2 linked regions of the Anolis sagrei genome follow. The protein of the gene in region 2 interacts with the protein of the main gene of each other region in a pairwise test. Links are inferred from orthologs where the notes say so. Each region holds a gene or a part of one and is shown on either strand. Other genes may lie near its edges.

Region 1 (8,463 bases), on a different chromosome or scaffold from region 2:
TACCATCTCGCTGGGAGGGGAATGGGAGGCAATGTTTTACAATGGCTCCATTTCTTCCTCAAGAACCATACCCAGAAGGTGATGCTAGGAAACTCCTGTATTTAAAGATCAAACTGTAAAGACTCTGGCACAAGCCAGTAAAGGTGGTCCCAGTGGTGATCAGCACACTGGGTGCAGTGCCTAAAGACCTTGGCCTGCACTGAAAAACAATCAGCGCTGACAAAATTACCATCTATCAGCTACAAAAGGCCACCCTACTCGGATCTGCACGCATTATTTGCAGATACATCATACAATCCTAGACACTTGGAAAGTGTGCGACATGTGATCGAATACAAAAGTCAGCATAGTGATCTTGTTTGCTGTGTACTAATCTTGTTGTATATCAAAAAATAATAATATCATCCATCAACTTAAGCTACAACTTCCAACAGATCCAAGTTAGCAAGAAGTCAAACAGTTTGTGGGCCCTTCCAGACAGACCCTATATCCCAGGAACTGATCCCATGTTTTCTGCTTTAAACTGGATTATGGGTCTGCACTGCCAAATAATCTATCATAAACAAAATCAGGTCCTGGGATATAGGGCCTGTCAGGAAGGGCCCTGTGCTGCACTACGCCCATTAGAAGCTAAAAGCCCAGCCATGCTAAATCCTTTAAAGCTGTGACTCCCAGTCCTTCGGGTGTTTTGGACTTTTATCTGCTCTGGAGTTGGAATTCAAAACACCTGGAAGACCAGAGTTGGGAACACACTGATAGAGGCCCCTTCCACACAGCTGAATAAAATCCAACATTATCAGCTTTGAACTGGTATATATGGCAGTGTGGACTCAGGTATCCCAGTTCAAAGCAGATATTGTGGGACTTTCTGCCTTGACATTCTGGGTTATAGGGCTGTGTGGAAGGGCCCCTAGATTAACCGTCCCTAGAATCCCACACTGGGCATGGAGGAAAGGCAACACTGGAAAACCAACGTTTGCTAAACACTGATATTGATCAACTGGGGGCCTTCTGCAAAAAAAAAATAATTAAAAAATCCCACAATATATGTGCTTTGAACTGGGTTATCTGAATAAAATCCTACATTATCAGCTTTGAACTGTAATATGTGTCAGTGTGGACTCAAATAACCCAGTTCAAAACAAATATTGTGGGATTTCCTGCCTTGATATTCTAGATATAGGGCTGTGTGGAAGGGCCCAAAGTCCACACTCAGATAATATGGGATTTCCTGCCTTGATATTCTGGGATATAGGGCTGTATGAAAGGGTCTTGAGTCCACACTGCCATATATTCCAATATCAAAGCAGATAATGTGGGCTTTTATTCAGCTGTGTGGAAGGTGCCTATGTTGCTGAGAGTTTTCTGGGCTGCATAGCCATGTTCCAGAAGCATTCTCTCTTGATGCCTGCCATAGATGCAGGTGAAACGTCAGAAGAGATTGCTTCTGGAACATGGCCATAAAGACAGGAAAACTCACAGCAAACCAGTGATTCTGGCCATGAAAGCCTTCGACAACACATAGATCTCCAGAATATCCTTCTGAGGGCCCTTTCACACAGCCCTTTATCCCAGAATATCAAGTCAGAAAATCCCACAATATCTGCTTTTGAATTGGGGGTCCTTCCACAAAGCCCTTTACCCCAGAATATCAAAGCAGAAAATCCCACAATACCTGCTTTGAGTTGGGTTACCTGAGTCCACACTGCCATATATCCCAGTTCAAAGCAGATAATGTGGGATTCTATTCAGCTATGTGGAAGGGCCCTGATAACTCAGATAACATGGGATTTCCTGCCTTGATATTCTGGGATAGAGGGCTGTGTGGAAGGGCCCTGAGCATGCATGGACAGCAAATAAAGAGAAAATAAAAAAGAAAGCAACACACACACACACAAAGGACTTCAACTCCCAGAAGTCCCTGCTGCTTTGGCCAACGACCAAGGATTCTGGGAGTTGAAGTTCCCCAAAACTGGGAAGCAGCAGAGTTAGTCTTCGAGGAGGAGCCCATCCCTTCCACCTTTGGCGCAGGGTTGGAAAACACTCCAGCAGTGAGTGGCTGGCTCCCCTTTGGCCACTCCCAAGGGTTTCAGAAAAGGTCCTACTTCCCGTCCAGCCTGGGAGAGAAGTCCACCAACACAAAAGGCAATCCGGGAGAGAGGAAGAGAGGAGGAAACCGAGGGAGAAAACGTGGCTTTTCTGTGCGCGGTGCCAGATCCCAAGAAAGGCACTCTCTTAAGAATGGGAGCGTGGCTTCTCCTTGGGAAGGGAGGCTGGAGGCCAGATCTGGCTCAAGAGCCACAATTGCAACACAGACACACAGCTGACTCTTTGGTGGGCACTCCTTCTTGGCAGGGAAGCAGGCGGGTGGGCTGTCAGCGCGTCTCCCTTGCCGAGTCCTCCTTTTTTTCCCTGGCTGCCTCCGGCTATTTTACGCACACGCAGCCAGGGGAAAAAAGGAGGACTCGGCAAGGGAGACGCGCTGACAGCCCGCTTGGAGCCAAGCCAGAGAAGTGTCTGCGGGTGTCTCTGACCCACAGATGCATACAGATGCCCCCCCCCCCAACGGGACCATTCCCCCTCCTTCCCTCCTTTTCCCTTCGGAGACGCGCCTTCCTCCTCCTTTTCCTTCTCCTCCCAGTTTTTGCGCACGGGAAAGAGAGCCACCCGCGCCCTCTTCAGCCGGGCTAGGAGCCAAAAAGGGAAGCAAGCGGGCCCCTCGGCCTGGCAGGCGGAGAAAGAAGCGCTGGGCCCGGCAGGAGAGACGGATTCGCCCCCTTTTTTGGCTCACCCCGTTGCTGCTGATCGCCGGGAGCCAGCGCGCAGCCTCTTCCTCTCTGTGTGCGTCTGTGTCTCCAGTTGGTTGGCTTTCTCCAAGCGCCTGGGTTGCTCTCGCTTTTCTCTCCGGCTCTTCGGCGCCTTGCCTTTGCGGGAAGCTCAGCCGAGGGAGGACGCGTCAGTGGCTGCTTCTCCTCCTCCTCCTCCCTCCTTTCGGCCCCCCTTTTCCTGCCTGCGATCGGGGAAAGAGGAGGAGGAGGAGGAGCCGGCAAAAGGAGGAGCGAGGGCGCGCAAAGGCGGGCCAGCAAAGAGTTGGAGAGCAAGAGGAAGGAAGCAAGCGAGCGAGCAAGCGGGGCGGGGGTTGGCCCAGCCTTGGCTTCGCTTCCAACGCTGAGCCTGCCCCTTTCCACTGCTTGTGGGGAAGAACTGTCCCTTTCCACTGCCCTCTTTGCGTCTCCTTTCGTGGCTGGAAACTAGGGACAAACGTCCTCACCGGACAGAGCTGCCTTTCCTTCTGCGTATTGCAGCACTACTCCTTTGTCGGCTTGGCTTTGCTCCTTTTTCAGCTGCGGCAGGACTAATCTCCCAAGGCTGTGGTCATTCCACCTCCCAGAATGGATTTCTGGATTCCTGCACCTTGGAACAGCCGGAAAGAACCACTGGGATTTAATGCTGAGTCTTCTTCATCGCCTCTGAGCATAGGAAGAGTGTGTTTTTTCTTCCTCTTCTCTCTCCACGCAGCAGGGAAAAAGTTAGGAGGCGGGGCTCCAAGGGATGGACTGCAGTCACTTGCAGAATAATAAGAGACCCATCCAGGGCCATAGCGGGGGGGGGGGGGGGGGGGTAAAATTCAACCCTACCCTGAAATGTGCCATGTTATTATTTATTTATTTATTTCATAGATTTATATCCCGCAGACTCCAGCCAGAAAATCAGGAGACAGACTTGTAGCCGGGGGGGGGGGGGGTGAGAGGCTTCAGCCCCCCCCCCCCCCGAAATTCTCATGGTGGTTCGCGAAAAGGCCTTACTGGTGCATTATTTAAACTGTTATGTTTATTCATATCATGATCTGATCACCATACTCAATATATCCCATATGCACGGGGGTATTGGGGTAACGATACAAAAGGTTTGCTGGGGTAGACCCTCTTTCACTCAGACTCACCCCCCCCCCCCCCCAATCGAAATCCTGGCTACCGGCCTGTCAGGAGACACTTACTTCTTGGGAGGAGAGCCATGACCAATCTTGATAAAATAGTGAAGAGTAGAGACATCACACTGGCATAGTTAAAGCAATGGTATTCCCCATAGTCACCTATGGATGTGAGAGCTGGACCATAGGGAAGGCTGAGCGAAGGAAGATAGATGTTTTTGAACAGTGGTGTTGGAGGAAAGTGCTGAGAGTGCCTTGGACACCGAGAAGATCCAATCAGTCCATACTTCAAGAAATAAAGCCTGACTGCTCATTGGAGGGAAGGATACTAGAGGCCAAGATGAAGTACTTTGGCCACATAATGAGAAGAAAGGAAAGCTTAGAGAAGACAATGATGCTGGGGAAAATGGAAGGAAAAAGGAAAAGGGGCCGACCAAGGGCAAGATGGATGGATGGTATCCTTGAAGTGACTGGATTGACCTTGAAGGAGCTGGGGGTGGTGACGACGGACAAGGAGCTCTGGCATGGGCTGGTTCATGAAGTCACAAAGAGTCAGAAACGAATGAACAACAACAATACCCCTCCTTTCTCACCCCCGTTGCAGGGGGGCCTGGGGGGCTCAGAGCAGTCTCACAACAAGCACCATACAGTGCCATCACCATCATAAAACATTTCAATAAATACATTAAAACAGTTAATTAAAAACAATTGATTAGACATGCCATTTAAAAACCAAATCCAAATCTGGGTCAATTCATTGTCCTGGGTTGCCTGAGTCTTCTTTCCACTTGTTGCTAGTCGAAGTTTCCTTCTGAAAGACAGGAGGGAGGTGGCCAGTATGATGTCCCTGGGAAGGGAGTTCCACAGACGGGGAGCCACTGTCTCTCGTCCCCACCAATCGCGTTTGCGTTGGTGGTGGGATTGAGAGCAGGGCCTCTCCAGATGACCTTAGACTTCGCGATGGTTCATAACAGGAGATACATTCGGACAGGTAATCAGGGTCAGAACTGTTTAGATCTTTAAAGGTTACAAAAGAAACCTGGTTTACTCATAACTTGGTTAACCATTTAAAATTCTTGAGTAAACCAGGTTTCGGGGAGGGGTGTGTGTTAGAACCCTTTTGCGAAATTAGAACTCTTACCCCACCCCCACCCCAGTTACGACCCTGGACTCATCACACTAGAGCAGGAATGGGCAAACTAAAGGCTGAGGGCTGGATACGGCTCCCTGGGCACCCACTTCAGGCCCTCATTTTCCTTATCCTCTCAGTATAAGGACATGGTGGCCTGCTGTATCCTTATGCAGAAAGGACAGGGGAGGAAGGCATGCAGCAACTGAGATCCCTCTGGAGTGCTCTCAGCCACAGCATGTCCTGCCCTCCTGGCATAAGGACAGTGTGAGTGGTCCCATCCTTATGCTGAGAGGATGGCCCGAGGAAGGCATGTAGCAGCTAAGAGACCTCCAGAATGCTCCGGAGGACAGCCCGAAGATCAGGAAGGAGTATCGGAGCAGTTGCCACCTGTTTTTTTCCTCCCGGCACAAGGATGAGATGAGCATCCTTATGGCACAAGGGGCAAGCATCCCTATGCCAAGAGGACAACCTTAGGTTGACCCAGGCCCTGCCCCGGCCCCACCCTCTTACAGGCCCTCTCCCTCCCAGCCTGGCCATCTTGGTTGAGCCCATAATACAGCCCCAAAGCAAAAATGTTTTCCCATGCCTGCACTACAGCATGAATCCACTTTAAATCTGGTTTCTGCCTCCTGCAGAATTCTGGGGTTTGTAGTTTAAGGGGGAGCTTTTAACAGTCCCACTCAACTACAAACCCCAGAATTCTGCAGGAGGCAGAAACCAGATTTAAAGTGGATTGGTTCTCTAGTGCGATGAGGTCCTCCATGAGAATCAATAAGTAAAGATTTCCTCTTGACATCACATACCTGTGGTTACCAGCATATGCACTGCCATTTCCAGATCCTAGGTGGAGGATCTGGAAATGGTTTAGTGTTAACTGGGAAATTCTAGTCATGAAACTTGCATAGTGACTTGGACCAGTTGATTTCAGCCTGCTCTCCCTTCCAGGATCACTATTGTGAAAATAAAAAGTGGGGAAGAGAGCGATATATATACATTTCTTTTGATTTACTGGAGAAAACATGGGGTATAAATATAACTGTATAGCTATTGTGTAAGATAATACACAATAGACATATATATTCTAAAAATCAAAAGTCAGGCATAGTTCGGTTTAGTGCTGGACATAAGGCACAGAATGACAAAAAAAGACATCACTCAGACCTCTCTAAACCCTATTTTTAAGCTCTTAGTAGAATTTGTGCAGGAAATAGGTAGGATTCCAAAGAGGATCTTCATCTTAAAGAAGTATTAAAATGCTCTCTCAGAACTCCTGCAAATGTCTTGGTAAATATCCCTGACCATTTCTAGAGCTTACTGTCATTTCAGGATTTTTAAATGCCTGGTTTTAAGTGTGTGTACATGGTATCCTTTTGCTTTGTTTTTGAAGTAAAGACCACAGCAAGCAATGAAGATGGCATAAGTAGCATAGGAATAACAATCTACACTAAAATAAGAGAGCAAACAGAACTCCACTCCCTCCTTATCAGAACAAAAAGTGTGTTATTGACTGTTAACAGCACAGAATGAAGGATGACTGCTGCCATGTATAAGGAAACAGATGACACAAATAATACTTGCAATCTTGTTGATGCAAGGGAGGACAATATTGGATATTTTACAGTTGTGCTTAGAGTAGACCCACAAAAATCAATGGAACAAGTCAGACACGGTGAACCTATGTCCCAACAATTTAAATGAGGGCCCTTTCATGCAGCCCTATATCAAGAATACCAAGGCAGAAAATCCCACATTATCTGCGTGTGGACTCAGATAACCTAGTTCAAAGCAGATATTGTGGGATTTACTGCCTTGATATTCTGGGATATAGAGCTGGGTGGAAGGGCCCCCAGTTTGTGTTAGAGCTTTTTGGACTGCAACTTCCACAATGTCTCATTTAGTATGTCACCTTAAATGTTAACCACATATTGGGGTTGTTTAGTCTTTGGGGCCCTTGATTATAATTCACCATTAAGTCTATGTTCCTTTTGGGATGGATTTCGTCTTCGTCATACACTATATTCCCCCTCCTTGTCTCATGTATTTGTGGTGTTCTCATGTCAAACTTTTATTAGTACATTAATAAAATCAGTTGAAGATGTATTCAGCAGTAGATCATAAATGACCATAAAGTTATTCAAATGCTGCAGCAAGATTGTAAAAATGGCTTGAAGATGGAAAAAGAGACTGCAGTTCTTTGGAAGCCTTGAATAATAAAATTGCTTTTAAAAACAGATGTGAAAGTGTCTTTCTGGCTAACACCATACAGATCAAGGAAGAAAGTGTGAATAGATAATATATAATTAGATCTGCTCTTCAGTTGCAGGTTTATTTTTCTTTTTTTTCCCCTTTTCAAGGCTGCCTCCAAGGGCCCTTCCACATAGCCCTATATCCCAGAATATCAAGGCAGAAAATCCCACAATATCTGCTTTGAATTGGGTTATCTGAGTCCACGCTGCCATATATTCCAGTTCAAAACAGATAGTATGGGATTTTATTCAGCTGTGTGGAAGGGGCCCCAGTTTCAGTTAGCCTTCCTGTCCACAGCCCCATCCAACTACTCCAAAGTAAAGGTTTCTCGATTGGGCTCTCTGTCCCCTTTCTCTTGCCAACGGTAAGGGAAAACAGTAGTGCTGTGGTCAATATTAGATTACTGCATGGCACAATTCAGTCAGCACCAACAAAAAAACAGTGGGGATAAGAAATCAACTAATGCAACAATGTCAATATAATAATATAATGCAAGTACACAGAACTAAGCTAATAACTAATATAAGAAAGGCAGCTGAAAAATAGACATTCCAGTCCATATTATACTTGTGAACAGAAATACCACAAATTCCATATACCACAAATTCTGTGTCATTGCCAAAATGAATGGAACAGTCGAACAGATGTTAATGAAGAATATATGGTTACTCATGGAAATGTAAAATTGTTTCAGTCAACCTTCATCTGTAGATTAGGCCACAATTAGGTCACCATTTTAATTACACAAAATGACTTTGGCATAACTGTAATAGAAGCTACTATTATCATGTTCCACAATGTCTTAAAACAATGGTCCGTCAGCAGCATTGGGGATAATTTAAATAGTCAGTGGGCCAGGGCTTTTTAAGTGATCAAACTTACTAGATCTTGCCAGAAACTGCAGCAGCTGCCAAAGAGTGGTGGTTACAAATCCTGCTCTTCTGCCTCTCAGTGGCTTCTTAGGACCTCATCACATTCAGTGGGAGCCCCCAGTGGTGCAGTGGGTTAAACCCTTGTGCCCGCAGGACTGAAGACTGACAGGTCGGAGGTTTGAATCCAGGGAGAGCACGGATGAGCTCCCTTTGTCAGCTCCAGCTCCCCATGCGGGGACATGAGAGAAGCCTCCCACAACAATGGTAAAACATCAAAACAT
Region 2 (7,616 bases):
CCATTTGGGAATTGTAGTTTCTGGGATTTATAGTTCACCTACCATCAAAGAGCATTCTGAACCCCAAACTTGGCACACAGGACTCCCATGACCAACAGAAAGTGTTTGGTGGGAATTGAGTTTTGGAGCTGTAGTTCACCTCCATCCAGAGAGCACTGTGGACTCAAACAATGATGGATCTGGACCAAGCTTGGCATGAATGCTCAATATGCCCAAATGTGAACACTGGTGAAGTTTGGGGAAAATAGGTCTTGACATTTGGGAGTTGTAGTTGATGGATTTATAGTTCACCTACAATCAAAGAACATTATGAACCCCACCAATGATGAAATTGAACCAAACTTGGCACACAGGATTCCCATGACCAAGAGAAAATACTGAGAGGATTCAGTGGGCATTGACCTTGAGTTTTGGAGTTGTAGTTCACCTACATCCAGAGAGCACTGTGGGCTCAAACAATGATGGATCTGGACCAACTCTGCTGGACTGAAGGCCATGTTGTCCGAATACCCAAAGATCACTGTCTCCCAAAGGAGTTACTCTACTCCAAACTCCAGAACAGGAAATATAATGTTAGTGGACAGGGAAAGATGTTCAAAGATGGGCTCAAAGCCAATCTCAAAAACTGTGACATAGACACCAAGAGAGAACTGGGAAGCTCTGGCTCTTGAGCGCTCTGTGACCAGCAGTGCTGAAGAATTCGAAGAGGCACGAATGGAGGGCGAAAGGGAAAAATGTGCCAAGAGGAAGGCACGTCAAGCCAACCCCAACTGGGACCACCTTCTGTCTGGAAACCGACGTCCTCACTGCGGGCTCCACAGCCACCTACAGACCCACCGCCAAGACACCACATCTGGAAGACCATCATCCTCGAGCTACAAGGGATCGCCTAAGTAAGTAAGCAAGCAGCCTGGCCATCAATCTCTGAACCAGTTGGAGTTTCAGAACTATCTTCAAAGGCATAGACAGCATTGCAGCAGTCCAAGCAGGATGTGACTAAGGCATGGACTCCCATGGCCAGGTCTGGCGTATCGAGGGACAAGCTGGTGCACAAGCTGTGCAAAGGCACTCCTGGTTCAGCAATGAGCTCAGCAATGAGTCCAGGGTCAGGACCAGGCTGCAGACCTATGTCTTCAGGGGGAGTGGGTCCCCATCCAACACCTTGATCCACCTTCCGACTGACCAGGAGGACCTCTGTCTTGCCTGGATTTACGAGGTTGAATGAAAAGTAATGCCTCCACCTTTGTAACTCCTAGATGTCACCCCCAAAGGAGATTCATCAGAGGATTCAAGCTGTTTATGGGGATTGTGTTGACGTGAGTACTGTTTGTCTTTGGGCGAGTAAGTTTAAAGATGTTGAGGTGACACCTTCTGCTGTCAATAATTCAATGACTGCATGTTGCTTAAGTTGCATTGACTGACCGTCTGCGCAGGGTTCCATACTTCGCAATTTAACAACACAACCGTTCAATGCTAAGGCTTCCTGCCAAAATGGAACTGTAGAGGAGAGTCTACTGAACAAGCCAGTACCTGCCGCATACCAGTACTGCCATCTGTTGAGGAGTTACAAAGGTGGAGGCATTACTTTGCATTCAACCCTCGAACCTTCAACTGATTAGCCCTCCCCCAGCCCATCCCAGCCTTGCATATGACAGATATGGCTGTGTCCTCCAAGATAATAATAATAATAATAATAATAATAATAATAATAATAATTGTAGAAGAATGGCTGTGTCCACCGAGATCATCATCATCATAGTAATAATAATAGTAGTAGTAGTAGTAGTAATAATAGTAGAAGAGCAACTGTGTCCACTGAGATCATCATCCTCATCACCATCATAGTAATAATAATAGTAATAATAATAGTAGAAGAGCAGCTGTGTCCACTGAGATCATCATCCTCATCACCATCATAGTAATAATAATAGTAATAGTAATAATAATAGTAGAAGATCAGCTGTGTCCACTGAGATCATCATTATATCATCATCATCATCATCATCATCATAGTAATAATAATAATAATAATAATAATAGAAGAGCAGCTATGTCCACTGAGATCATCATCATCACCATCATCATAGCAATAATAATAATAATAATAATAATAGTAGTAGTAGTAGTAGTAATAGTAGAAGAGGAGCTGTGTCTACTGAGACCATCATCCTCATCACCATCATACTAATAATGATAGTAATAGTAATAATAATAGTAGAATAGCAGCTGTGTCCACTGAGATCATCATATCCCCCATCATCATCATCATCATCATCATCATCATATCATCATCATCATAGTAATAATAGAAGAGCAGCTATGTCCACTGAGATCATCATCATCATCATCATCATCATCATCATAGTAATAATAATAGTAGTAGTAGTAGTAGTAGTAGAAGAAGAGGAGCTGTGTCCACTGAGACCATCATCCTCATCACCATCATACTAATAATAATAGTAATAGTAATAATAGTAGAAGAGCAGCTGTGTAAACTGAGATCATCATCATCATATCATCATCATAGTAATAATAGTAATAATAGAAGTGCAGCTATGTCCACTGAGATCATCATCATCATCATAGTAATAATAATAATAACAGTAATAATAATAGTAGAAGAACAGCTGTGTCTACCAAGATCATCAAATAATAACAATAATAACAATAATAATAATAATAGAAGAAGAAGAGCAGCTGTGTCCACTGAGATCATAGTAATCCCCACAGTAATAATAATAGTAATAATACTCGAAGGCCGGAGCACCTGTGAGCCAAGGCAACAGCCACAGCGGAGACCCTTGAGTGTGGGAACAGGTGAAATAGGTGGGTGGGGGCACGGAGGGGTGAGCGTGCGCGTGCCTGTGTGTGTGGGGATCCCCCCCCCCTTTTTGCCACAAATCCTACTTACATAGTATTCCTCCTGGCTGTGCTGGAGGCTGAGGGGAATGTCCAGCATGCACATCTGGAAGGGCTGCACCAGCGCCTTCTGCATGCAGAACAAAGGCTTGGGCTCCATCTCTGCCTGCTGCTCCTGCTGCGGTGGCGGCGGCTTCCCCCTTTCCCCTGCTCCAACGGGGCTTCAACCAAGAACAGGGAGGCAGGGGGCCCCCTGCTGCTGCTGGGCATGGTCTCCCAAGGAGGCTCTCCCGCTTGCTGCCAGGATGCGCATGCAGCAGCAGCAGAAGCAGAGCCAACCGCAACCGCACACCCCCCTTGGGCTGCAGGAAAGGGGTCGAGGGGAGGGGCAGCTGGGAGGGAGGGAGGAAAGGCAGCCCACCCCTCACCCCTCAGCAGACCACCCTGCCCTTCTTTGCACAGGCTCTCCTCTCCTGGCAATGGGTGGGAAGAGGAAGGGGTCTCCTTGCAGAGAGAGAAAGTGGGGTGCAAACACACACACACACAATAATAATAATAATAATAATAATATCCCCCAATAAACAGAATAATGCCCCCAAATAAACAAAATAATAATAATGCCCGATAATAATAATAGTAATAATAATGATGATTATGATGGTGATGATGCTAGAATAAAAATATAATAATAATAATAATAATAATAATAATAATAATAATAATAATAATACCAGAATAAAAAATATAATCATAGAATCATAGAATCAAAGAGTTGGAAGACCTCATGGGCCATCCAGTCCAACCCCCTGCCAAGAAGCAGGAATATTGCATTCAAATCACCCCTGACAAATGGCCATCCAGCCTCTGCTTAAAAGCTTCCAAAGAAGGAGGCTCCACCACACTCCGGGGCAGAGAGTTCCACTGCTGAACGGCTCTCACAGTCAGGAAATTCTTCCTAATGTTCAGATGGAATCTCCTCTCTTGTAGTTTGAAGCCATTGTTCCATATTATAATAATAATAATATGAAATCCAGCATATATATCTGATTTGCTGTGACATACTGTGTTTTTGTGTCAGTCAAATAATAATAATAATAATAATAATAATAATAATGTCCCCCAATAAACAGAATAATGATAATGCGCCCAAATAAACAAAATAATAGTAATAATAATGCCCCCATAATAATGATGATGATGATGATGATAATAAAAACAATAATAATGGTGCTAGAGTGAAAATATAATAATAATATAATTCCAGAATAAAAATATTATAATAATAATATGAAATCCGGCATATATGTCTGATTTGCTGTGACATACTGTGTTTTTATGTCAGTCAAATAATAATAATAATAATAATAATAATAATGTCCCCCAATAAACAGAATAATGATAATGCGCCCAAATAAACAAAATAATAGTAATAATAATGCTCCCATAATAATGATGATGATGATAAAAACAATAATAATGGTGCTAGAGTAAAAATATTTATTTATTTATTTATTTACTTATATACCGCTGTTCTCAGCCCGGGGGCGACTCACAGCGGTGTACAACAGAGGAACAACAACATTCAAGACACAGTATAAAAACAATTCACAATCCAGCATTATACAAAAACCATTCAGTGTCGTCTCATCGTCCAAACCACAATCCAATATCGTTTTCCATTGTTCCGTTCCTATAGTCATTACCAATCATAATATAAAATATAATAATAATATAATTCCAGAATAAAATATATAATAATAATAACAAAAACAAAAAAACCCATAGTTGGATCATGAATGTTGCAATCCCAGGTGAAAGCAGGATTGAAGAGAAACAACTGGAAAAGCTGACACGATATGAGGATTGAAATACTGAACTGCAAAGACTCTGGCACAAGTCAGTCAAGGGGGTCCCAGTGGGGATCGGCACACTGGGCGCAGTGCCTCAAGATCTTGGCCTGGACACAATCGGCGCTGACAAAATCCCCTCACAATCTCTGAGGATGCCTGCCATAGATGCAGGTGAAACGTCAGGAGAGAATGCTTCTGGAACATGACCAGACGGCCCAAAAAAATTACAGTAACCCAATAAGAATAACAATAACATTACATAAATAAATAAATAAATAAATAAATGTAGCTCCAGCAACACACACACACATATATGATCAAGAATCCCGGAAGAACCCTTTCCCCGCTGAGAAGGATTACTCTTTCTGGAGTGGATCTCCCTTGCTTCCAAGGGGTGGATTCCTCCTCTTTCCTGTTTTCTCACTGGTCTTAACTAAGAGTCATTTGAAACTCGGGGAGGGACAGCCTGTATCAGGATGCCACTACAACCGGAGGAAGAGGCCGTGGGTACCCAACTCCCATCTCCATGGAGACAGACGGATGTGTGGTTGCTGTGCCAACGGGGGAACGCACCACGGGGCAGAATCGGGGGCCCGCTGCGGCAGGAAAGGGCTTGCACGGCCCCTGAGGATGGCAAGAGCACATCAACACGAAGGAAGGAAAACACCTTCCCGCTGGTGGCCTGCAGGTCTCCGCTGGAGCTTCGCCTCAGCCCTTGCGTCAACAACAAGCCAATCTTGGCACATTCTCACAGGGATGGGAAGCCAGGAGGAACCTTCTGAACAGAGGCACAGGGGAGCTCACCTACCTCTATGCCATCCAAAGCTAATGATATAGATTTGGCTGGAGTGCCACTTCATAAAGGAACCGGTTCAGACTTAACATACCTCTCTTGTTTGTAACTTGGGGCCTGTATATCAAAGAGGGGGAATTTCACACAAACACACACATATATAGATAGCATATGGAAGGGTATGTATATTTGGCTGGAGTGTGTGTGTGTGTGTGTGAGGAGTGACTTGGGAAGTTGCTTCTGGTGTGAGACGTTGCCCAGGGGACGTTGTCTGGATGCTTGATGTTTTTTGCCATCCTTGTGGGAGGCTTCTCTCATGTCCCCGCATGGGGAGCTGGAGCTGATAGAGGGAGCTCCTCTGCCCTCCCCATTCGAATCTCCAACCTGTCGGTCAGCAATCCTGCCGGCAGGAGAGTTTAATCCACTGCGCCACCCGCAGCTCCATTAATACTCAAGACTGTTACACAGCAAACAAGATCACTCTGCTGGCTGTTGTATAGGATCACATGTTGGACACTTCCCAAGTGTGTAGGACTGTGTGATGTATTGGCAAATAATGTGTGCAGATCCCAGTAGGGTGGCCTTTTGCAGCGGACAGATGGTGATTTGGTCACTGCCTATTGTTTTTAAGTGTAGGCCAAGGTCTTGAGGCACTGCACCCAGTGTGCCGATCTGCACTGGGACCCCCTTGACTGGCTTGTGCCAGAGTCTTTGCAGTTCGATCTTTAAATCCTCGTCTCGTGCCACCTTTTCCAGTTGCTTATCAAACCTGCTGTTTGTTTGTTTATTTATTTATTATTATATTATGTTGATTATCTTAATTTCTGTCCTGCCTTTCTCCACATAGGGACTCAAGAAGGCTAATAAGGCCGAGCAGCAGGGCGAGGGCGTCAAGTAGCAGGGCTCCAGAACAACCCCACACAGACGCCGGTTTTAGTTATCAAAGAAATGAGAAATGCGGCTTTTTTATCCGAAGCAAATCCGACAAATAAAACAAAAAAGAGGAAAATTCCAGCAATAATAAGAAATAAACAAACAGGAAGCGATTGGAATGGAAGAAGACCATACGTGCTTGCTTTTTGCTGTTGACCAGATTGAAAACTCAAACTCTCTGCATTGTCTCAATGTACGCAGCATGGGATTATTATTGTTATTATTGTTATTATTATTATTATTATTATTATTATTATTCGTATCTCCGGCCACAGCCGCTCCCTTTGGTGGAGCCACCGCAACATGTTTTTTAATGGATACACAAGAAAAACTCAAAGGCCTGTTTTTTCTCAAGACACACCTTTCAAGGTTTTTAAATTGTTTCATATCTACATATATAAAAATGCTCTGTGCATTATGAGTATCTTAAAAACGAAAGAACCAATGAACGAAATCACACCAAATTTGGGAACAAAACGTCTCACAATACAAGGAGTGACCATCGCTCAAAAAATTATGACTTTGTCATTTGCGAGTTGTAGTTTATTTATTTATTTATTTACTTTATTTGTATACCGCTCTTCTCAGCCCTTAGGCGACTCAGAGCGGTTTACAACAGTTTAGATATATACTATAGTTGCTGGGATTTATAGTTCACCTACAATCAAAGAGCATTCTGAACTCTATTAACGATGGAATTGAACCAAACTTGGCACACAGAACTCCCATGACCAGCAGAAAATACTGGAAGGGTTTGGTGGGCATTGACCTTGAGTTTGAGAGTTGTAGTTCACCTTCATCCAGAGAGCACTGTGGACTCAAACAATGATGGATCTGAACCAAACTTGGCACAAGCACTCAATACGTCCAAATATGAACACAGATGGAGTTTGGGGGAAATAGACCTTGACATTTGGGAGTTGTAGTCACTGGGATTCACAGTTCTCCTACAATCAAAGAGCAGTGGGTTGTTGTAGGTTTTTTCGGGCTATATGGCCATGGTCTAGAGGCATTCTCTCCTGACGTTTCGCCTGCATCTATGGCAAGCATCCTCAGAGGTAGTGAGGTGCATCTATGGCAAGCATCCTCAGAGGTAGTGACCTCACTACCTCTGAGGATGCTTGCCATAGATGCAGGCAAAATGTCAGGCGAGAATGCCTCTAGACCATGGCCATGTAGCC

What was found. The genes of interacting proteins can lie anywhere in the genome.
Region 1: the proteins of RALGDS (region 2) and RAP1A interact in a two-hybrid assay, tested with the Homo sapiens proteins (3 studies listed by BioGRID and IntAct). The link is inferred for Anolis sagrei from reciprocal best matches to the Homo sapiens genes RALGDS and RAP1A.

The regions. Positions count from the first base shown.
Region 1 is NC_090024.1:199,233,441-199,241,903, reverse strand, and holds the start of RAP1A (ras-related protein Rap-1A), read right to left. Parts: upstream 3,088-8,463; 5' UTR 2,792-3,087; intron 1-2,791. UniProt on the Homo sapiens protein: Counteracts the mitogenic function of Ras, at least partly because it can interact with Ras GAPs and RAF in a competitive manner. Together with ITGB1BP1, regulates KRIT1 localization to microtubules and membranes.
Region 2 is NC_090031.1:18,839,138-18,846,753, forward strand, and holds the start of RALGDS (ral guanine nucleotide dissociation stimulator), read right to left. Parts: upstream 3,236-7,616; 5' UTR 3,020-3,235; coding exon 2,912-3,019; intron 1-2,911. UniProt on the Homo sapiens protein: Functions as a guanine nucleotide exchange factor (GEF) activating either RalA or RalB GTPases and plays an important role in intracellular transport. Interacts and acts as an effector molecule for R-Ras, H-Ras, K-Ras, and Rap.